Linked DNA regions of Pelodiscus sinensis. The main gene of each other region encodes a partner of the protein of the gene in region 2 in a complex. Links are inferred from orthologs where the notes say so. Each region holds a gene or a part of one and is shown on either strand. Other genes may lie near its edges.

Region 1 (11,192 bases), on a different chromosome or scaffold from region 2:
TTGGAAGTGAGTCAGCACCTTGACATGAGCCAACTCTGAAGACCAGCAGCAAGAACTTCACAGACCACTGTTTGGAAGCCTCCGTTCTCAAGATACGTATTCACTTTTTATATCCCACGAGAATTACCCTGGATTGCACAATCTCTTCAGGAGTTCATCATGCAACTGGCGTCTAATTATACCTGCCCTGGCAATCTACAGGAGCCATTAGCGCGAGAGATTAAATAACTCTCCCATTATTAGTTGGTTCACATGAAGAGCAGGGTGCCCATTTCACAAGTGATGTCGAGCCCCGGGAATTTTGCAAATTAATCATGGCACTGCATGGTGTTAGTGAGCTCTAGTAGTGCTATTGCCCTATGACAATACCAGCGCAAACATCTCCTGTAGATATTACACTCTTGTGACTTACATCTTAAAAACACCAGGTGCAAGCTGTACTGGTGCAGCACCTACCGCAGGGCTTTGGACTGGCACAGCAATACTGAAAAAGCCTCGCTGATGTGCTCCCATGGACACAGATTTCCTTTACCTAACAAGCCCTTGAGGACTGGGAGCTCTTCTCATCCCCACATCTGTCCCATTCTCACATTGGAGTAGTTGAGCCCTGCTTCAAAGGGAGAGGAATAGCCCAGTTTAAAGTAGGGATGTAACAGTGTAGTCAATTAACCAATTAGCAAAAGCTTATAGGTTAATGCTATAGACTATACCTATTCATAGAATCACAGGGCTGGAAGAGACCTCAGGAGGTCGAGTCCAGCCCCCCGGCCTAAAGCCCTCCCCCCCAGTAAATTTTTCAGCAGGCTGGCCAGCCAACTGGCTCAGTCCAGTCCGGAACCTACCCCTGCTGCAGCTCTGCATTTAAAGTGTATTAGGAGCTAGGCTGGCAGGAAGCCCGGCTCAGTTTCGGCTCGCACCAGATCCGGGAACTCAGACACACCCTCCCCACCCCCCCGCCACGGGCTGCTGCCACCCTGCACTGTTACCTCTGTATCAGAGGCAGTAGCCCAGGGCAACAGGCAGCTGGTCTGCGAGGGGAGCTGGTTTTTAAACTGGCTCCCCTTGCAGACCAGTTCCCACCTGGCATCCCGCACTGCTGCCTCTATAGAGACACAGTGGTAAGGAAGAAACAAGGAGTGGCAAGGGGCTCCTCATGACATCAGAGCGCACTGGTTGCTAGCCCCACTCCAGGCATTATAGTACAATCGACTAACCGATAAGAATGTATGCGGTTACTTGATTATTCAAGTAACCGTTAAACATCCCTAGTTTAAAGTTGTCAGAATCTGCTTCCAGCCTCATTAAATTCCACTTGCCATTGAAGTAAGTGCAGCTGGTGCAGGACAAGCATAGGTAAGCACTCAGCACTTGACCTGCTCACCATATCAGGCTACCGCATGAAACCCGACAGGCAGGTATTACCTTCCTCTGCCTGCCACCACCCACAAAAGCAGCAGCTACTGGTAGCTGTTGCTATTATCTTTGTTGCAAATGCTACAATAGGGCATGAACATCATCACAGCATCTGAACCATCAGCTACATCTTCAGTACATTTACAAGCAACCCACATCTGTGTCCCGGCTACGAGACAATAGGGACACTATTCTCAGCCATGCTTCATTTCACTTTTAAAAACCCGTGGAACAGTGTGACAAGATGTACAATACACTGTAGTGTTAGACCAGAGTCCACATAGAAGAAATGGAGACAAAACTGCAATTCTTTAAAGTTAAAGGCCTCTGGTCATAGTTACATTAAGTTGAATGCATGATTTCCTCCTGACCAGTTCTGGGGGAAAAATGCTAAACAATTTTACCCCCCTACAAACTATGAATCGCACACTAATACAAATAAAAGTGCCCTCTAAATACCATTTAACTATGAAAATAAAATACATAAACTTACAGGATTTAATGCAAGTCCCGAACTTGAAAATATATCAGCATATGCAATGTTAGCTCCACAGCAGACAGCAGTTTATGAGCAAGTCTGTAGGCGTAGGAATTCCGGTGTACTAGCTGGCTCCACGACAAATCAAATGCCTTTACTGATTCGTGACCAGCCCATTTTAAAGTGTAGCACTGCGGGGTGGAGCCTGAATGTTAAACCAACTCCGGCGTGTGTCCACAATCCATGGGAAGCCACCTGACTCCTCAGAAGAATAATATGCCATTACAGCAAATTAGTTCCTGGACAACCAAGCCACTATTTAGACACATCCAACATATGGGCTCCAACCAACTCCCAAACACTTTTATAATGCACTTCAGTGACCTCTGAACAAACAGAGACAACACACTAAACCTGTCATTGACAAACTGCACCAGTACAAATCCCCCTCCAGGGAATACTTTGCTGTGAAACAGTTATCACTCCTACTGCCTCTGCAATACAACAAGCAGACACGAATGGTCAGGAGGAGGAGGAGGAAGTTACAGCTTAATATATCAATCATCTTTGTTCTTTATAAAGCTGCAACAGCCAAACAAGACAAGGCAGACTGATGAAGCAGTTCAGTGTATTTGGCATTCAGATGGGGGGAGAAGGGAAGTCTTCAATGTATCCATTTTTAAATCCCTTCTTTAAAGAGCCTTATTTGAGATTATTAGTGGAATGGCTCCATCTAATTCTCAGTGCATTTCATAGGAATAGGCTCTCCCCTCTCCCATCAACAATTGTCATTCACCATCTCATTCTCTAGTGCCACATACCCCAATTCTCCCCCCCCCCCCCCCACATACACACACACCAACTGTAGGCAATGGGAATTCTGCACATGGACTGCTCAAAGGTTGTGAAAGGCTGACTAGTTAACCAATGGGTGCTGGAACAGCCCCCCTGGCTGCTCCAGCCCTGCGGGGCTAATTAATTGGGATTTTACAACCCTACTCCTAGGACCAGGACTTTAGAAGTTACAGAAAGAAGGGGGGGAGGCAGTCTCCTTTACTGGAACAGCTTATCTTGGTTACAGATAAAGACACAAGCTTTCAAGTTCCACAGAGCTCTTCAGGGCTGCACTGTCAGCAGCAGAAGTTAAGCCAACAAAAAGGTGGTATCTCTCTCTTTGTCTTTCATAGTCTGGGACCAACAGGGTTACAGCAATGCTGCAAGTTAAGCAGTATTTTTTCCTTACAGAACCTGTAGGTCACAGTCTGACAATGGATAAGGCATAAACAAATTAAAAAAAAAAAATCAACCCTTCCCCTCACTGTTTCTGTCCTGCATTGCTGACAGAAATGGAAAGATCCATTTCCACTCAGGAAAGTTGAGGGGGGCCATTTAAAATCAAATAGAGCTTGTCTACACTTGAAACACTATTTTCAAGTGTAGACAATGCACTAGAAACAATCATAGAAAACCTCTCCCACTCCCAAACTTCTCGAGTGGACCCATCCTTGTCCATGGAAATACTGAAATCCGTATAAGTGTGTCTCTCAGGGGTGTGGATTTTTCATATCCCTGAGACACACGACTATGCCAATGCAAGTTCCCAGTGTCAACTAGCCCCAAGTCTGACCCAAAAGAACAGGACAGAAGATCTTTTACAATGAACACCCAGCTTAGGGCCGCTCATAACATGTGAGGTTGTTGATTAGCCACTGGCTCAGTTTGGAAGCTGCACATGCCAAACAAACTACAAAACATCCTTCACACACGCGCCAACAAAAAGCTCTATGGAAGCTCAAAAACGGTCTTGAACTTTCAGCAATAGAAATTGGTCGAATATTACCTCACTCACCTGGTGTCAGAAATTGACTATATTGTGAACTTGAGTATCCAGTCATGGAAAGAGCAGGCACCAACTATTTAGGACCAGGCTGAAGTCATGTTCTACCACTAAGATGACCATGTAGTAAAAATAACCATGTTAATGAGACTTACAGGGTGTATTCCAAAGACCGTTCAAAGCAGCACCATAATGCATACAGTTAAATAAACCTATTTCCTTAATTAGTTCAAACACTGATAATGTTCAGAGATTTACTTTTCAAATTCTCACACACAGCAATAACAGATGACCTCTGGCCGTTAAACATTTCCTTGCATGCCAATTACTTCGTTTTCTGATAAAGAAAATAAAGCACTTGCTCAGGCCCCCAGCTGACAGCTCCGTGACAATTGGCAGTGGCCAATAATCTTAACTCATTTTCATATGAAAAGGCCCCTACCATTTACTGTTACCCTGAGGGGAAGATGCTACAACAGAGCAGTTCAGCTATAATAGCTCCTTTAAAATGGCACAAACAAGGGAATAAAGTTGAGAATAATCTGAGTTTTATTTGTTTTATTATTTTTGTGGTGATTTTTTAATTGTGCATGAACTAGGTCAAATTACCAGAAGGAGGGGAAAAAATATCTTCGTTCTGAACTTGGAGGGCGGGGAGGAGAGAGAAATCCTCTTCATAACTCAGTTTTCACCAGCCAGCGTTTGCACAACAGATCCAGCCCGGGTTGGAGGAGTGGGGAGGTGGAGAAAAGAATTTACTGTCGGCGGTAGGAGAGGATGGAGCTGGCGAATGAATTCCGCCTCTCAGGAGAGTCTCCATCAGGTGGGAGCTCCAGGAAAGCTGGATGTTTGGGGGGGGGAAGAGAGCAGAAGAGAACGGGGCCGGCATACAAGCGCTGTGCTTGTCTCTACCCGAGTGTGGGCCGCTACATAGGAAACCGAAGCCACAGAAGGTGGGAAGAGAGGACCGGTCCCTCGCCAACTTTCCATTAACCCCTTGCGCGCCGGGACAAAGGCCTTTCCCGGGCGGATAATGGCTTTCTGAGATTGCCGAAGGATGCCCACGTTATTCAACCTTCCCCCTCCGGATACACCCTATCCCCAACCCCCAGCAACAGGGCAGGCCCCTCCCCAGCACCCGGGGGGAGCAAACAACCCACTCGCCCCCCCCCCTGCTCCTTTCCCGCGCCAACCAGCCAGCGCCCTGCACAACAGCCCGGTGCCCGCTCGGAGCTGCGGGGAAAAGGCGCCCGGGGGAGTCTCTGCCAGCCCCGCACCGTCCTCCCTTGCACGTGGGGACGGGCGCATCCTGCCCCTCCAGTGCCCCGCTTCTTACCATGCAAGCGGGGCTGCTCCCTACCGCTCCGGGACGCGGCAGCGGACCATGGCTGCGGCCGAGGGCGGGCTCTCTCCCTGCTCCGCGGGCCTCCGGGGCGCGCGTTGCGGGCTGGGGAGGGCAGGTTTCTTCGGGGCGCGTCTCCTCCCCAGGCAGGCCCGCTGGGATGCCAAGCGCCGGCGGGGTGCGAGGTGGAGGAAACCAGCCCCACCCCGTGCACGCCAATCCGGCTGCAAGCACCCACCGCCGCCTTGGCCCCCTGCAACTCCCGCCGCCGCTGCGCGCGGCTCCCCCCCGGACACTCTCACGGCTAGAGCCGGGCTCCTCCCGGGCGCCAGACGCTAAGAGCTCGGGCCGGCCGCATCACATGGCTCAAATAGCTCCCAGCTGCCGCTTGGCACCTCCCCGCTCCCGGCCCCTCCTCTCGCGGGAGGCGGGACCAGCGAAACCGCTGCCCGGCTCCTCTCGGCTTCTGCAGCCCTGGAGAGACGGGAGAAAAGCCCCCGGCTGAGCTGGGAAGGGGGCGTTTCGGGGGGGGAACCCTTTGATTCGGAGGAAGGGTCGTTCAGTGCTGGAGGAGGCCAAGGCGGGAATCCCCATTCAGTGGAGGCTTGGAAGCACGAGTTGCACCCACAGCTGCCAGGCGTGGTCTGGGAGGGTTTCCTTGCTCCTGCCTCAATGCATGGTCTCAAAGGCCCTTCCCCCAGCTCTACGTTGCCATGCTTTTATGAATTGGGGGTTAGGAGCGAGTCCTAGGAAGCAGTGTTCCCTTCAATCCCTGACATCCATGTGCAGAATAATTTTGTATGTGCCGGCAGGCGTGTGGGAATGTGCACTGCTAGTAGAAGCACAAAACCTACCTGTAGGGCTCAGCCAACCGGATGAAGCTGCATTTTAATCTCTGGCAAGCAGCCGCACAGGGTAGGAGGCTCGTAAGAATAAGGAAGACCAGATGATTACTGTCTTGTGATGGTGTCCAAAGGCCATTGTAGTAGGTGCCTTAAAACAGATATTGAAGGGCTTGCAACCCGAAGCCCTAGATCCTGCGAACCCTTATGTAACCCACCTGCCTAGTGGGTGTGGGTCACTGTCCCACGTAGTGGCACTTAGACCAGGTGCTGCAAGAGATAAGAATGAGTGAATACCACTGACTCAGCTAAAAACCACCGGAATTTATAGCTCAAGCTGTAGAGGTTCCTTTGCACAGCCCCTGAGGTCCTAGGTTCAAAGCTGCCCTTCTTCCACTAATTTCTTTAGGATATTTGTAGTGGCAGAAGTTGAGCTACATGCATTGCATACACCCAAGCATTCAGACGCCTTGAGTCAGGCCCCATAAAATCAGAAAAATGGCTTACAAATTGTAAGATTTTAAAACTAATACACAATCAGTTATTTTTATTGGTTTATTAAAATTATTATTATTGACACTTTAGGGTACACTCAGGATATGTTTTCAAGCTTTTCAATCTAGCCATGAAGGCATTTTTTTTAAAAAAAAGCTCTTCACCTACGCCCATGATTACAGGAGTTGGGATTTTGAGAAAAATACCAAATATGATTAGGAGAATTGTCAGCATTGGTGAGGTAAAAATCAACTCATCTAATTCTGTACCTTTGTTACAAATAACACCGTGGGTTATTAATGTTCAAAGCATTTTTCTACTATTTATATGCTTTCTTTTTAGTTGTGGACCCGCAAAAAGTTCCACTTTTGCTTGTTCCCTGTCTAGTTGTCGCAAACACTTAAGTGGAACATTTATTTTTTTTTAACTTATTTAATTAAGAAATAGGTCAAGAAAACAATTGTATTGGTTTTAGGATCTGCAAAAAAAAAGTAAATTGTGGGCCAAATTTGATTTGATGGTCTCATTTTAAGAAGCACATTTTCAGTGTTCCCAAGCAAAAAGTCTTAGGGTTGTGAACTTATGAGTTCTCATTAGCTAAGCAAACTTGAACTTGATCAGTATTGAACAGGACATAGTCAATGGCCATGTAGGTGATGTATAAATGATTCAGCAAGTGACACTCCACCATCCGAGTCAGTATTGAACTAGTGCCTCATCATCAGTGTTCCCTGTAAGTTGAGCACTTGGGCAGCTGCCCAGGAGAAAATCAGGTGCCACCCAGCTGACTGGCAGAGTGCCCACAGCTGACCACAGCCGCAGCATGCATTTTCTATTAGTGGTGCACATCTGTGCATGCCTTGGTGTACATAACAATATTTATTCTGCACATAAATGGAAACTCGTAGAGGGAACATTGCCCATTATGGTGCTGAAGGTGGTAGTTTTAAGTTGAGACAGTCAAATGAGGTCCTGACCACTGCAGTCATTAAAAATCCCATGATATTTTTCCTAAGAAAAACTGTTAGTCCTCATGGCTTTCTACATTGAAAGGGTCTGATTCTCATCTATGCAGATCCTTCATTTAACTGAGAATCACACTCAAGTTGTGTTACAGAGGGGTAGCCGTGTCAGTTTGTAACCGGAACTTAAAAAAAACAACAAAAAGTGTTACAGAACCTTAGAGACTAACAAAAAATGTAGATGGTATCGTGAGGTTTTGTGGACACAACCAACTTCGTCAGATAAATGGAGTTCCACAACTCAAGTTGAGTAATTGTGTTCTTGTTCTGTCTACCTTAATGCAGTTTTACTTAGAAAATTTTCTTTCCTGTTAGCATTGTTGTCAATGTTCCCTTTAATCTTTTCCATTCATGTGCAGATTTTCTCCATTCGTGTGCGGAATACATTTTTATGTACGCCGAGGCATGTGCGAATGTGCACCACCAATAGCAACACAACACTTAGATGTGGGAGCTCTGCTAATCAGCTGGGCAGCATTTGAATTTCTCCTGAGTGGCTGCACAAGTACGCAGCTTACAGGGAACATTGGTTGCTGTGCTCTTTTTAGCGATGGCTCAAGTTCAGAAGCAAGTAAGGGTATTCCTTTCCATTTCCATGTACAACATTTTACTGCAAAAAAGGTGAGTTTTCACCATGGGATAACTAGCATACTTTAACTATACCACTATAAAATATTAGTGGCGACAAGCCACTATAGCTTTTACTGCATGATAACTAGGTGAGGTTAGGAGTACAGTAATTCCTCATTTAACACTATAGATATGTTTCAGAAAATGATCATGTTAAGTGAAAACGTGTTATGCAGGGTCAATTTTCCCATTGAAAATAATGGAAAAGGTGGGAGTTGCGTTTCAAGTGGTGGTGTCTGTTGGGACCGGGACATAAGGTTGGGGGAGAAAGGAGACTGGGTTACAGCAGGGAGGGGAGGTGTTTGGCTCTGGGGAAGGGAAGGGGAGTAGAGGAGAGGGGGATTGGGTTGGGAGTATGCCCCTGTGACGGGTCTGCTGGGACCCGCACTGCGTCCAGTGACTGGGGGTTGCCGGGGAACGGCACGGCGAGTGGAGAACCCTCTGCCGCTTTGTAGGGAGGCAGGGGAAGCTCCGCGCAGCCACTGGCAATGGGCTGGCTGAGGAAACCATGTTATTCCAGGGACGGTCGTGTAATTCAAAAGACATTCCCTAAAAAAAATCATGCTATCGCGAAAACGTGTTAAGCGGGCACGTGTTAAATGAGGAATTACTGTATAGTACATATGATTTACACAGGGCCAGCCCCACATTTTGGCACCTGAGGCGGGGAGCTCAAATGATGCCCCCATGCCACCTCGCTTGGGCCAAAACTTTGAAAGGTCTCAATTCTGCCTTCTTCCTGTTCTGCTCCTCTCATGGCACTGCTCTGCTACTGACCCCAACAAAGGAGACCTAACAACTTAAAATACCTTGTTCAAAAAGTGTGAACTAGAGGTGACCACTCTCAGTCAGGCAGCAGCCTCAGTTCGCCTCATGGTAAGGCCAGCCCTGGATTTACAGGACATTAAGACAGTTATTTTAGCTGTCTAGTAGCTAAAAATTCCCTAGTACCCCCTGGGAATTTAAAAATAAAGCACAAAAATCCTTTAACACACTATACTGGTGGAAAGAAAAGGGAGAAACAAATATGAAAGATATATAGCCAGGGTGGCATTTAAGTCAATAGGAGTTTTCCATTCATTTTAATGACAACATTGAACCATTTTGAAAATCCTACATGCACACTTTTCCCCACTATACTTTTTATTTGAACAGGTGGCGGCTCAAGCCCCACATATCCACAAGCAGCAGAAATCAGTGGGAGTTTTGCCTGGAAAAGGAATGAATAGGAAGTGCAAAATTTTGCCCGTGTAAATAGCTCTAAGTTCAGCCAGGAGTGCAGTAACAGCCCACTGGGTAAATCTTTCTTTGTCTGTCAATCAATTCTTTGCAGCTCTTAAAGTCTCGTGTGTCTCTTTTCCTGCCCCGTGTGCATAACACAACTCCATGCAGAAATTTCTGCTCAGAACATTGTGACAGGGCTGTGACTATCTTTATTTTGGTGCTTAGAAACACCAAGACCAATGATCGCTTCAATTTTTTCCCATCTGTGTGTAAAATAAATTTTATGTGCATTGAGGCATGTGTTAATGTGTACCAGCGATAGACACACATGCTGCCAGCTGTGGGCAGCTACGTGCACTCTGCTAGTCAGCTGGGCGGCATTTGTATCCCTCCTGGGTGACCACCCAAGCACACAGCTGATGAGGAGCACTGATCAAGACCACTCTAGTTTTCATTTACCCTGAGGCTTCTGTACACCAGTCTGGCTGTGTAGATGCCACTAAATTACATATTATGCCAACTTTAGGGCTGTTTTTCAGGCCAATGTCAAGGGGTCTTCGTGTAATGAATAGCCTACAGGAGGTAAACATAGGCTGAAATGACCTTGTAACTCAAAAAGCTGTTGTTGTGTCTTCCTTGGGTGCTGTTTAATTTGTTTTTGAAATGTCATCTTTCTGAAGGGTGTTGGACCAGGACTGAGGTCTTTGGTTGGCTCACGGAATAGGCACAGCAGGATCAGTTGCAGTGCAAGTTTCCCTGCAAACCTGATGCAGAGGTCCCACAGGTGCCCCTGAGCAGGTTTCTATTGGACTCTGCTGATACTGCTACAATATCTGCTAAGTGCCTACCACCTCCTTTCGTCAAGCCACCCACCAGCCATCAAGTGGTTAAAACTGTTACTACCTCCTGGCCAGGGTCACACTGGTGACCTAGAGCAGTGTTTCTCAACTAGTGGTACGAGTACCCTTAGGCTGGGGTAGTTGAGAGAAGTCGGGGGGAGTGGGGATACGTCAATACAACTGAAATTTGGAGAAAACTGAATTTTTGTTTTAAGTTTTATAGCGCTTTATTGTTTTTGTCCTTTTTACATCCAAAAATTTCATCGCCCGCCTGGCTATGATTAGGTTGTTTAAACAAATGTGTTGCAATGGTAGAAAAAAATTGTGCGCATCTGAAAACTGTAGATACTGGGGATATTGATCATTTTTTTAAAGGGGTACTTTATAAAAAAGGGTTGAGATGCACTGAGCTAGAAATCAAATCTTCATGGACCTCCCACCCATTCCTTGAGGTGTCAAGTCCCTGTCACTCACAGAGCCTACAAACATCTGGATTTACAGATGTTTATCCCTAGGGGTTGGGAAAATCCCCCCTTCACTGCATGTGTGCTGTGCGCCAGGGGAAGTACAGCTGTGGCAACAGCACAAGAGAGGGGAACCTGGCTCCTGGATGAACTGAAAAGCTCTTGCTCAGGGGGCATCAGACCCATAGGTCTGCTATGGGTCATACCCAAGCTGCTGGATCCAGACCACAGGCCTGCTCCCTCCCTTATCTCCCACCAGGGCGCTCAGGCACAGAACAGCCAGCCACTGCAGAGCAGCCCCGGGCTGTTTTAAGCAGGTGGCTGCTTCCTGTGACACTCAGCTCCAGGCACCAAGGGGAGGGGAAGGCTTTGTGGAAACTGGCCCTCCCCCCCAGCACTCAAAGCAGAGAGCCACAGGGAGCAGCCAACTATTTGAGCAGCCTGGGGTTGCGCCATGCAGGGAGCCTGCCTCAGGGTCCTGCAAGGCTGCTGGCCAAGAGCTGCTTTGGTAAGTGCCTCCCAGCCACAACCTACCTGTGGCACCCCAGCCCCTCCCTCCCTTCATTCTCAGATCACCAGCTCTTCCTGCCCCAACTCCAAACCCTC
Region 2 (11,140 bases):
CTTCTGACTTATGTTACAGTCAAAGAAAGGTAATTCTGAGTAACAGAACTGAGACAGAAGAGGAGGGCATAAATGAGCATTTTGGAAACACATCACACCAGGTTAAAGTCTCGTGTATACCTTAGTGAGGCAGGGTGAGGGGCTTGAAGTGCAGGAGAAGATAAGTATCGCCATGAGGAGCAGGAGTGGATGAACATTAGCAAGAGGAGCCTGAGATAGAGAAAGAGAAGTAGCAGTGTGGAGGCAGGGCAAGGGTAGGATTTTAGCTGAGGTGTGGAGGCAGCAGCATGAATGGGTGAGGCAATACTGAGATTTTGTGGGAGGATGAGGTGCAGTGTGGGGGTATTTTACAAGGATGGAGATAGTAGCAAGGGGAAGGATGGGGAAGAAGAATTGATACAGTGGGTTTGAATTTCATGGGCAAGGACTGAAGGAGGAAGTATTTCACTAGGGAGATTGATGAAATTTCATCAAGTGGTGATGATCTGAGGCAAGGTTGTTACTAGATGTGGCCTGAGATGAGATAGTGACGGTGACTTACTGGCAGTAGGAGAATGCTCAGACAGTGGGCATCTTGGGGCTACATCTAGACTGTATATCTCTGTTGACAGAGGGATGCAAATCAAACATGTTGAAATTGCTAATGAAACTGGGATTTAAATATCCCACACCTCATTAGCATAAACATGGCTGCCGCTTTTTTTCGAAATTGAGTTTTTTTTCAACCTCCTGCCCAGGCAGTCTAGATGTGGATCTGTCGAAAATAAAGCCTTTTTTGACAGATCCTGTATTCCTCAAAAAATGAGGTTTACAGGATCTGTCGAAAAAGGCTTTATTTTCCACTGATCTGCGTCTAGACTGCCTTTTTTTAAAAAAAAAAACCCCATGTAGAAAAAAAGTGGTGGCCATGTTTATCCTAATGAGGCATGGGATATTTAAATCCCAGCTTCATTAGCAATTTCGATGTGCCTAATCTACATCTCTCTGTCGACAGAGGTGTAGTCTAGACACACCATGGAGTGGTCTGATGTAATGGACTTGAGGAGTACTCAGCAAAGGAAATGTGAAGTGGTGGGAAGGTAGATTCAGTGTGATGGGTTTGAAGTGATTTCACTGTCGATTGTTATGTAGGGTGTTTCATAGGGGTAGTGTGGAAACAAGCTGTACTGGTTATACCTGGGGGAGGAACACAGAGAACATCAGCAGGAGGATTTTCAAAGGGGAAGAGGCAGCAGGGAAGGAAGATAGTAGGATAATTTAATTAGGTGAAGTGAGGCTGAGGAGAAGTGGCAGGGAGATGAACCCTGAGAGAGTGGGTATTTCATAGGAGGGTTAGGTAAGGTGGGTGGAGTGGACCATGGAAATAAAGTAGAACAGTGATAGTAAATGTGTGTGACAGAGGTGGTGGTAATGGTGGGGTTAGCAAAAGTTTCCTAAAGGTGATAGGGTACAGGAAGGGTACATCGTAGTGGGAAAGATTTGTGGGAGCAATGAGGATTTTCACTGGGTTTGGGAAGTTGTGCGTAGCAGACAAATAGAGATATGCCATGAAGTTGAATATAGGGCCTTGCTTAATTAGGATAATAAAGTAAATTTCTTTAATATTACTATTTTATCCTTGAAATCTGCCTCATTACATAAGTCTATGTTAAAAGCTACACGTGTGTGTAATTTTGGGGGATCAGGAAATTTGTTTGGGCTGCTAGGACACAGAAACATTAGACAACTTATGTACTTTTAAAATAGAAAGATGCTTAATTTCACACCATACATACTAAATTTTCCCAACTTTCAAAAAAGCACACTGGATTTAACAATGATAGAAATGTAGCCATGTTAGTCTGGGGTAGCTGAAGCAAAATGCAAGACAATGTAGCACTTTAAAGACTAACAAGATGGTTTATTAGATGATGAGCTTTCGTGGGCCAGACCCACTTCCTCAGATCAAATAGTGGAAGAAAATAGTCACAACCATATATACCAAAGGATACAATTAAAAATAATGAACACATATGAAAAGGACAAATCACATTTCAGAACAGGAGTGGGATGCGGGGGGGGGGGGGGGGGGGGGGAGGAAGGAAGGTAAGTGTCTGTGAATTGATATTAGAGGTGGGGAGAATGGGATGTTTGTGAGTTAATGGTATTAGAGGTGATAATTGGGGAAGCTATCTTGGTAATGGGTAAGATAGCTTGAGTGTTTGTTCATTCCTTTTTGGAGAGTGTCGAATTTTAACATGAATGACAGTTCAGAGGATTCCCTTTCAAGTGCAGATGTAAAAGGTCTTTGTAGCAGAATGCAGGTGGTTAAGTCATTGAGAGAGTGTCCTTTCTGGTTAAAATGGCAAGAAACTGTTTTTTCTTTGTGATCTTGTCTGATATCTGTTTTGTGGGCATTAATTCTTTGGCGAAGTGTCTGAGATGTTTGTCCAATGTACATAGCAGACGGACACTTTCAGCACATGATAGCATAGATTATATTTCTGGATGCGCAGGAATATGTGTTCTTGATCTTATAATTCACTTGGTTAGGTCCAATAATGGTTGCACTTGAAAGGGAATCCTCTGAACTGTCATTCATGTTAAAATTCGACACTCTCCAAAAAGGAATGAACAAACACTCAAGCTATCTTACCCATTACCAAGATAGCTTCCCCAATTATCACCTCTAATACCATTAACTCACAAACATCCCACTCTCCCCACCTCTAATATCATCAATTCACAGACACTTACCTTCCTTCCTCCCCCCCCTCCCCCGCATCTCCCTCCTGTTCTGCAATGTGATTTGTCCTTTTCATATTTGTTCATTTTTTTTAATTGTATCCTTTGGTATATATGGTTGTGACTATTTTCTTCCACTATTTGATCTGAGGAAGTGGGTCTGGCCCACGAAAGCTCATCATCTAATAAACCATCTTGTTAGTCTTTAAAGTGCTACATTGTCCTGCATTGTGTTTAACAATACATATTTAATTATAACATGAGTGTTTATTGTTTTTTGAAGTCATTCTTCCGCTCTCCTCTGCACTGGTTAGGCACTGGTTGGAGTATTGTGTCCATTTCAAGAAAGATGTGGAGAAATTGGAGAGGAGCAAGAGGAGAACAACAAGAATGATTAAAGGTCTAGAGAACACGACCTATGAAGGAAGGCTGAAAGAATTGGGTTTGTTCAATTTAGAAAAGAGAAGATTGAGGGGGGGACAAGATAGCAGTTTTCAGGTATCTAAAAGGGTGTAATAAGGAAGAGGGAGAAAACTTCTTCATCTTGGCCTCTGAGGATAGAACAAGAAGCAATGGGCTTAAACTGCAGCAAGGGAGGTTTAGGTTGGATATTAGGAAAAAGTTCCTGTCCGGGTGGTCAAACCCTGGAATAAATTGCCCAGGGAGGTTGTGGAATCTCCCATCTCTGGAGATATTTAAGAGTAGGTTAGATAAATGTCTATCAGGGATTGTATAGACAGTACGTGGTCCTGCCATGAGGGAAGGGGACTGGATTCGATGACCTCTCGAGGTCCCTTCCAGTCCTAGTATTCTATGATTCACAAGGAAAGTCAAAATCAGCCTTGCAAATCCTTAACTGAGGAGAAGAAACTCTTACTGAGTATAATTATGTAAAATCCACATTTTAGGTCTTAGGAGCCTCTGCCTACACACCATTTTAAACTTAACTATTAAAAGAGCATTTCTAGGCCTTGAAAATAAATGCTTAAGATTTTAGAAGGGAAGGGTTGCTCTGAAAATGTTTTCCTACTTAGTAAGTTTCTCCCAATTGTGGCTGAGGAAAACATGCAGTGTGATACTTAAAACTATTTAGGACTTTATCCCTGAACGCTCACCAGCACAGACACCCTTATTAAGATGCAAACATCTGATAGTCAGCATTTTTGCATTGGGCACTAAAACCAACCTCACCACAAAACTTCTGTTAATAAATAACAGACTGCGAGGGTCACAGAGACTTTTTTGGCATTTAAAAAAATCCAACATTTTTTGAGAAGCAAAAACATCCAACAGTGGCTGATGCAGCTACAGCCCAGAAAGGGTAGAAAATAGTGTATGCCATAAACTACAAAGAACACTTTGAGAGGTCTGTTTTTAGAAATTCTGGGGGGTTTGGGCAATTGGAGAATTGGTATTGGGTTGGATGCATCTTTCTCTTTGTGTACTGTAAGGAGGCGTGTTACACAGTGGAAGCAATATCTGCCACATAAATAAAGAACTCAACTGAGAGAGTGTTAATTTTACTGTTTTTAAATTTCAATCACTTTCAAAATTGATAGCTCTATGAACTTTGGAATAATCCCCTTTCCAAACAAAACAAAACCTCAGATCAAAAAAACCTAATCCTGAGAACTATCAACTTTTTTGAGAGGATTTAAACAAAATTATTTTTTAATGAAAATGTCATTGGTAAATGGTAATTAGAAAAATCTCAAACTATAGTACATATATATTGTTGAGTGCATACAATGATAAATAATGTCCGTGCTGGTGCAGAATTAACTCTTCTGTAGTTACTATCCAGCTTATTAAAACTTTTCCAAATTATACCAGAGGATTAAATAGTATGATTTTAACTATTGCTTTGCTGTGAAAAATGTAACAGGAATCATTCTAGTCTGAGAAGTGAGAACTTTTTTCCTCACATATTCCCTTCAAAAATACTATCACTGAGTGTGAAAGTTAGAAATGAATTAAATGACCAGAGGGCCATTGACTGATGGGCAGGTGACAGAGTGCTAACACTGGAGAGGAGAGCAGGGAATAGATGTACATGAGGTTAAAGTTGAACCATGGTCTACATCTATTATTTATATTGTAGGAATGCCTAGAGGCTCAAGTCAGGGTCTAGGGCTCTATTGTGCTAAATACACAGTGAACCTCCACTCTCCAAAAGTTTCCATTTTAAAATCCATTAAGAGTTTTATTAACCAGAAGAACAAATTAGCAATGGAATCTGAACAAGATAGGAAAGAGATGGATGACAACTTCCTCAGTCCCAGGTAACAGTATCTGGATTTCTTTTGTTAGGCACACAAACTTGTATATCATGCTCCCACATTCCCCAGTCCCATCGTTCCTATATGCCTGCACCTGCTAAAATAAGTTGGTTAGGTCCAATAATGGTATCAGCCGAGTGAATATGTGGACCTAACCTAGTGAGTTATAAGATCAAGAACACATATTCCTGCGCATCCAGAAATATAATTTATGCTATCATGTGCCGAAAGTGTCCCTCTGCTATGTACATTGGACAAACGTCTCAGACACTTCGCCAAAGGATTAATGCCCACAAAACATATATTAGACAGGATCACAAAGAAAAAACAGTTTCTTGCCATTTCAACCAGCAAGGACATTGTCTCAATGACTTGATTACCTGCATCCTGCTTCAAAGGCCTTTTAAAACTGCACTTGAAAGGGAATCCTCTGAACTATCATTCATGCTTAAATTTGATACTTTACACTAAAGTTTGAATAAAGACTCTAATTATCTTACCCATTACAAAGACAGCTTCCCCAATTATCACCTCTAATACCATTAGCTCACAGACATTTACCTCTCTCCCCTTCCCCCTTCTGTTCTGAAATTTGATTTGTCCTTTTCATATGTGTTCTTTTTTTTAAATTGTATCCTTTGGCATACATGTTTGTGACAATTTTCTTCCACTATTTGATCTGAGGAAGTGGGTCTGGGTCCACAAAAGCTCATCACCTATTAAACCATCTTGTTAGTCTTTAAAGTGCTACATAGTCCTGTGTTTTGTTTCAGCTACACCAGACTAACAAAGCTACATTTCTACCACAAGTTCATATTGTACAAGGTGCTGTGCACAGGCGCTTGATACCTTCCCATCTGCGTTTTTCAGGGCTCCTGGCTGAGGGAAGAGCTTGGGAGGGGCTGAGAGAGGCTAGTCTCGGAGCTGTGCGGATGGTTAGCCAAACCCTCGAGTGGGTGGCACTCGCCTTGTTTCAAGAACCACGGTGCCTGATCTCCGGCTAGGTGAGAACTGTGCATCTCAGCGGGGGGGGGGGAGCGGGCTCTAGTTACTGCAAGGCACAGCGGGCTCCTCACGCTCCCTCGCCCAGCGCAGCGGCCGGAGCGCTCGATGCTTACGGCTCGAACTGGCCCCGCAGAGAATCCGGGCCCCCCACGTGCGCGCTGCCTGGCCGGACACCTGTGGCTGGGCCGGGCGCTGCGGGCAGGACAGACGCCGCGCTCCCAGGCACGGGCAGGGCGGGTCCTCCCCCCGCCTCCCTCGCACCCCATTGTTAAAGCGAGATCTCGGCCGCTTCCGTCCGCGCTTCGGCTGCGCTCGCCGCCGCCCGGCAAAGTCCGGAGCGGCTCAGCTCCTTCCGGGAGTGGGGCAGCGCCAGCAGCCGCGACTCACCTGAAGCCGGGGCGGGCAGCGTCGCGGGTCCTTTTCTGCGTAGCGGCGAGGTAGGAGCGCGGCCCCGAGCCGGGGGGTTGCGGGGCCGGGGCTGCCCCCCTGCAGCGGGGACTAGCCCAGCGCTATCCCCGGGGCGCTCGCAGCTCTGGCATGCGGAGAGGGGTGACGTGCAGGGGGCGCTTCCCCCGGGGGATTGTTGGCGGGGCTGTGGGCTGGTTGCGGGGGGTGCGGTGTGAGCCCTGGCGGGAACCGAACGGGGCTGTCCTGGGAAGGGGGTGGGGGTCGCTGGGGTCCAGAGGGGATCCCCGCGGGGGGGTGAGTGGGATGTTCGGGGGGGGGCGCTCGTGGAGCGGCGCTGGCCCGGGGCGCTGCGGGCTGGCTCCCTGGGGGCGGGGCTGACTCCCTGGTGCTCTCCGCAGGCGGTGGTGCCCGGGCCGCCCCTCTGCCCCGCTGGGAACATGGCGTCCGGCGGCTACCGGAGCAGCGGGGCCAGCACCACGGACTTTCTGGAGGAGTGGAAAGCCAAGCGGGAGAAGATGCGGGCGAAGCAGGCGCCGCCAGTGGCCGGGGCAGAGGGCAAAGCGCCCGGGGGCGCCGCCTCCGCTACCGAGCTCAACAGCAGCCTGCACCCCGCCCCCGGCCCGGCCGCCCCGCCGCACCCCCCGGAGCGGGCCGCCCCCTCCCCCAGCGGGGGCCTGAACTGCGTCCCCCTCCCGGCCAGAGCCGGCTCCAAGGAGCCCCCGGTCCCAGCCGGGAGCAGAGCGGCGGAGCCTGCAGGGAAGCCCCCCGCCGCGCCCGGCTCCCCGGAGGAGGAGAAGGCGGCGGCGGCGGCCAAGGGGAAAAGCTCCGGTCCCAGCTCCAGGAAGGGGAAGGGGCAGATCGAGAAGAGGAAGCTGCGGGAGAAGAGGCGCTCCACAGGTGTGGTGAACATCCCCGCCGCCGAGGTGAGCCCCGCGCCGCTGCCCGGGCTAGGGGTGCTGGGAGCGCTAGTGCGAGCGGCTGAGACGCTGCACCTGAGTCGTGAGCGCCGCTGCCCGCCGGTCCCGCCCCCGCCCGGGAGCAACTGGTGTTGCTTCCAGTTCCTTGCCGCCAGGGAGGCTTGTGCCCTCCTGCGCGGGGTGAGGTGCGGGGATTAAACTGCCTAGCGCGGGAGCGCTGCTGTTTCGCTTCGTCCCTCATGTCTGCACCTCTCTTGGGACAATAGGCCTGACAGTGGCGAAGCTACGGGGTTGAGGTTGGGAAGAGTTTGGCGGGATTTGGATGTACTGGGCCAGGGATGTCCTCTCATTACCCCCACCCCTATTTAAACGCCGAGTTTACCGACAAGAGTCCTCCGGCTCCAAACACTTTGGGGTGGGCTGGGTCTGAGTCCAATGTTGTGATGCTTGTATGGCTGCAGGCTTGGGCTTGGGCTTCTAGTCAGGAAGGATTAGTGAACATTGACAGGAACAGCAATGAATATATCATTGAGCACTTCTTAAAACAAGAACCGTACTTCTTAATTTAGTGTGCCTTGGCTGAAACTAGGACGTGAAACAGTGTGTGTGCCTTAGAGGAGTTGCAAAGTATTCTGTAATATAAAATACCCTCCTAATTTTTGTCTGGTTTCTCACGACTCTGTGGCGATCTTTTATCAAAGGTAATTTCAATGATTATTTTCTGTTGCTTTTGTCATATCATTACTTTCGAATTTCATTAATAAATATGATTAAACTTAACACATAAGTTTGTGTTAGTCACTTTGCTGTGTTCTGAACAACGAAGAAAGGAAATCATGGTATTAAGCTCTGGATAAATATTCAGGTGTAAATACACTTCTTAATCTAAAACAATTTCCTGTATTTGGAAAAAATGCAGTGGTTTGAAGTGCATTTTTTTGGAGCAGAGATGAATATTTTTATCAGCCAACACAACTGTTCTTTGTGGTTTGCTACTAGCATGAAAATCTGGCATTCATTTAAAAAAACTCTTAAAGGAATTCAGAAGCATGATAACAAAACCATTTGCTTTTTTTTTTTTTATGAAGCTAGAGGAGACTGAAAACAAAGTTGAATTGCATTCTTCAGTTTTATATTGATGATAAAGGGCAACACTATTTTAGATAACATGTATATCACTAAATATTTCTCCTCTACTAGGGGTGCCTGCATGGAGGGAGGGGGAGAAACAATCTTTTGTGTCTTGTGCAGTAGAAGATGAAATCCTGTTTTCCTCTCCTGAAGTCATAATCCTTTCTTTGTGATGACATATTAACTTGTAAAACCAGAAGTATTGTCTGGTGAGGAATAAGCAGCAGGAACAAATGAAGTCTTAAATAAAAACTCTGTTTTAGGGCTCACTCCCACAACTTTGACTTAAGTGATTAGCCTTGTTTCTTGTATAGCCTGCACTTTAAAGTGAAGGATTGCAGGACTGAATCCCAAGTACTCACACTCTTGAAAATGAGGAAACTCACACTTGAAAACTAGTAACTGTGGGCAAGAGCAGTGAGCCGGGCTGCTTGCACAAATCCGTTTAGGAGACAGGCCTGCTGCTAGCCGCTTCCAGGACACAGCAAAGTCTGTGGTGCCAGGAGAGGCAGGAAGCTGCTGTAGGGAAGCCCATGCTCCAATTCCCTGTCCCAGGCCTGAGTGCCCCCCAAACTCAGAGCCCCCTCCTACACACCAGGCCTCTCATCCAAAGCCCCAATTCAGAGCCAGCACTTAAGTCAAGACATAATTATGTTGAATCATGGGCATCAACAATTTTTTTTCAATTGGGTCATGAGAAAAAAGTTTAAAAGCCACTGATTGCCTGTGTGACAAATAACAGCACTACCACACCTATTTAAATGAAGTGCCACGTTTGCAAAGAAATAACTTTATCTAGTCCGTTCCTTGTGCCCAAATATAGTTGCTCCCACCCCATCTGCCTTTCTCTAGAACCTGAATCTTCTGCTGCTTGCTTCCACTCCCTTAAGCTTGGAGAAGCAATGGCTTAGAGCTTCCTCTGCTACTTCTGTTGGGCTTATTTCTCCTGTCAGGAACAACTAACATAGCCTGCTTCTTTATCTTCTACTAATAAAGGATTGAGGCCACTGTGCTTGTCCTCTACTCAACAGAGACCATCAGCTCCAGTTTTCCCATTTGGCCCTCAATATCTGCTTAACTTAGGGGATCGGGTTTTTTTCTATTGCTGTCTCCTTACAAATAACTTTGCAAAATCTGTCACTGTGTGTCAGCACTCCTAGGAATAACTTAATGACATTTTTGCCATTGTATATGTTTTGTCTTAAAACTTCGAATAACTCCATAGCTAGTAAGTGTCTTTGTTTTGTTTTGTTTTTTAATTAAATACAGTTTGACCAAGAAACTGATTTCTTTTTAATATCTATGTTATAACAAACATTTCATGTAGCTACCACCATTAATATAAAGTACTTAACCTGCAGTGCAGATATGAGGGAGTGTGTTTGGTTTTTTTTTATTTTTGCAAGTTCTGGCTTGTAGGCAGAATTCATTTGTGATGAACATCTCGACAGGCAAACATTTACATACAACTGACTTTTTTTTGTGATCAAGCCAACTTCTTGAAAGTCTTCCATTAACATTTTAAAATAGGAGTATATGTAGCACTAAGAATTCATTAGTTCAAGATCAGAGGGAGCCATCTTATTCTTCATGTGTATATCACAAGCCATTACACTTCAGCCAGATTTTGCTATATAAATTCCAGTGATGTTACTTAGACCCAAGCATTTCAGTTTTCCAAAGACTTCGGACATGTCTATACCACATCTGGAAGTGAGCACTCTAGTGTGGTTCTTCAAACCTGTGCTAGCAGGTCTCACGATATCTTGCTAAAAATAGTTGTGTAGAAGTTGTAGGATTGAGCTCTGAGGCCTGGGGTATCTGAACTTGATAAGTCTGTCGAGGGTCGGGGTGTGGGGAGAACTAGCTTCGAGATGCACAGTAGGCATGCCCATGGGTGTGTCTAAACTACATGGCTCCGTCGATGGAGCCATGTAGATTAGACAGATAGGCAAAGGCAAATGAAGCCGCGATTTAAATGATCGCGGCTTCATTTAAATTTACATGGCTGCCGCGCTGAGCCGACAAACAGCTGATCAGCTGTTTGTCGGCTCAGCGCGCTAGTCTGGATGCTCCCCTGCCGACATCAAAGCCCTTTGTCGGCAGCCCCGGTAAACCTCATCCCACGAGGAATAACGGGGCTGCCGACAAAGGGCTTTGATGTCGGCAGGGGAGCGTCCAGACTAGCGCGCTGAGCCGACAAACAGCTAATCAGCTGTTTGCCGGCTCAGCGCGGCAGCCATGTAAATTTAAATGAAGCCGCGATCATTTAAATCGCGGCTTCATTTGCCTTTGCCTATCTGTCTAATCTACATGGCTCCATCGACGGAGCCATGTAGTTTAGACACACCCCTAAGTTGTGACAAAGCACAGGAAAGAATGAAATGCCACAGTGCTTGAAGCTCCTGCAATGGCAGGGAATTGATTATGTAAGATGCACAGATCCTAGTAGGTGATCCACTTCCCATGCTGCAGATAGAGGTAAAAACTCCTCAAGGTTCGTTAAGTTAACTGGAAAGCAAAATTCCTTCTTCACCAGATTTGGGGTCATCAGTTTGACCCTGAACAAGACACTTTAGCCAGGCATGTAAGAGAGAAAATTTGCTGTATCATCTCAGCGCGCTGATCCACCCTATCCATTATCAGAGGGGCAGCCGTGTTAGTCTGAATCTGCAT

The links.
Region 1: the proteins of PAWR (region 2) and SPSB1 are in contact, whole or in part, in a crystal structure (PDB 2JK9), measured with the Homo sapiens proteins. The link is inferred for Pelodiscus sinensis from reciprocal best matches to the Homo sapiens genes PAWR and SPSB1. Residues at the interface, in NP_001341661.1 of Homo sapiens: Glu68, Leu69, Asn70, Asn71, Asn72, Leu73, Pro74; in NP_079382.2 of Homo sapiens: Arg77, His78, Pro79, Val80, Ala81, Gln82, Gly110, Thr111, Tyr129, Val216, Trp217, Gly218.

Annotation. Positions count from the first base shown.
Region 1 is NC_134733.1:13,306,192-13,317,383, forward strand, and holds the start of SPSB1 (SPRY domain-containing SOCS box protein 1), read right to left. Parts: upstream 5,454-11,192; 5' UTR 5,065-5,453; intron 2,705-5,064; exon of another isoform or gene 1,907-2,704; intron 1-1,906. UniProt on the Homo sapiens protein: Substrate recognition component of a SCF-like ECS (Elongin BC-CUL2/5-SOCS-box protein) E3 ubiquitin-protein ligase complex which mediates the ubiquitination and subsequent proteasomal degradation of target proteins.
Region 2 is NC_134711.1:70,681,152-70,692,291, reverse strand, and holds the start of PAWR (PRKC apoptosis WT1 regulator protein), read left to right. Parts: upstream 1-5,881; 5' UTR 5,882-6,007; intron 6,008-6,115; exon of another isoform or gene 6,116-6,445; intron 6,446-6,814; 5' UTR 6,815-6,853; coding exon 6,854-7,339; intron 7,340-11,140. UniProt on the Homo sapiens protein: Pro-apoptotic protein capable of selectively inducing apoptosis in cancer cells, sensitizing the cells to diverse apoptotic stimuli and causing regression of tumors in animal models.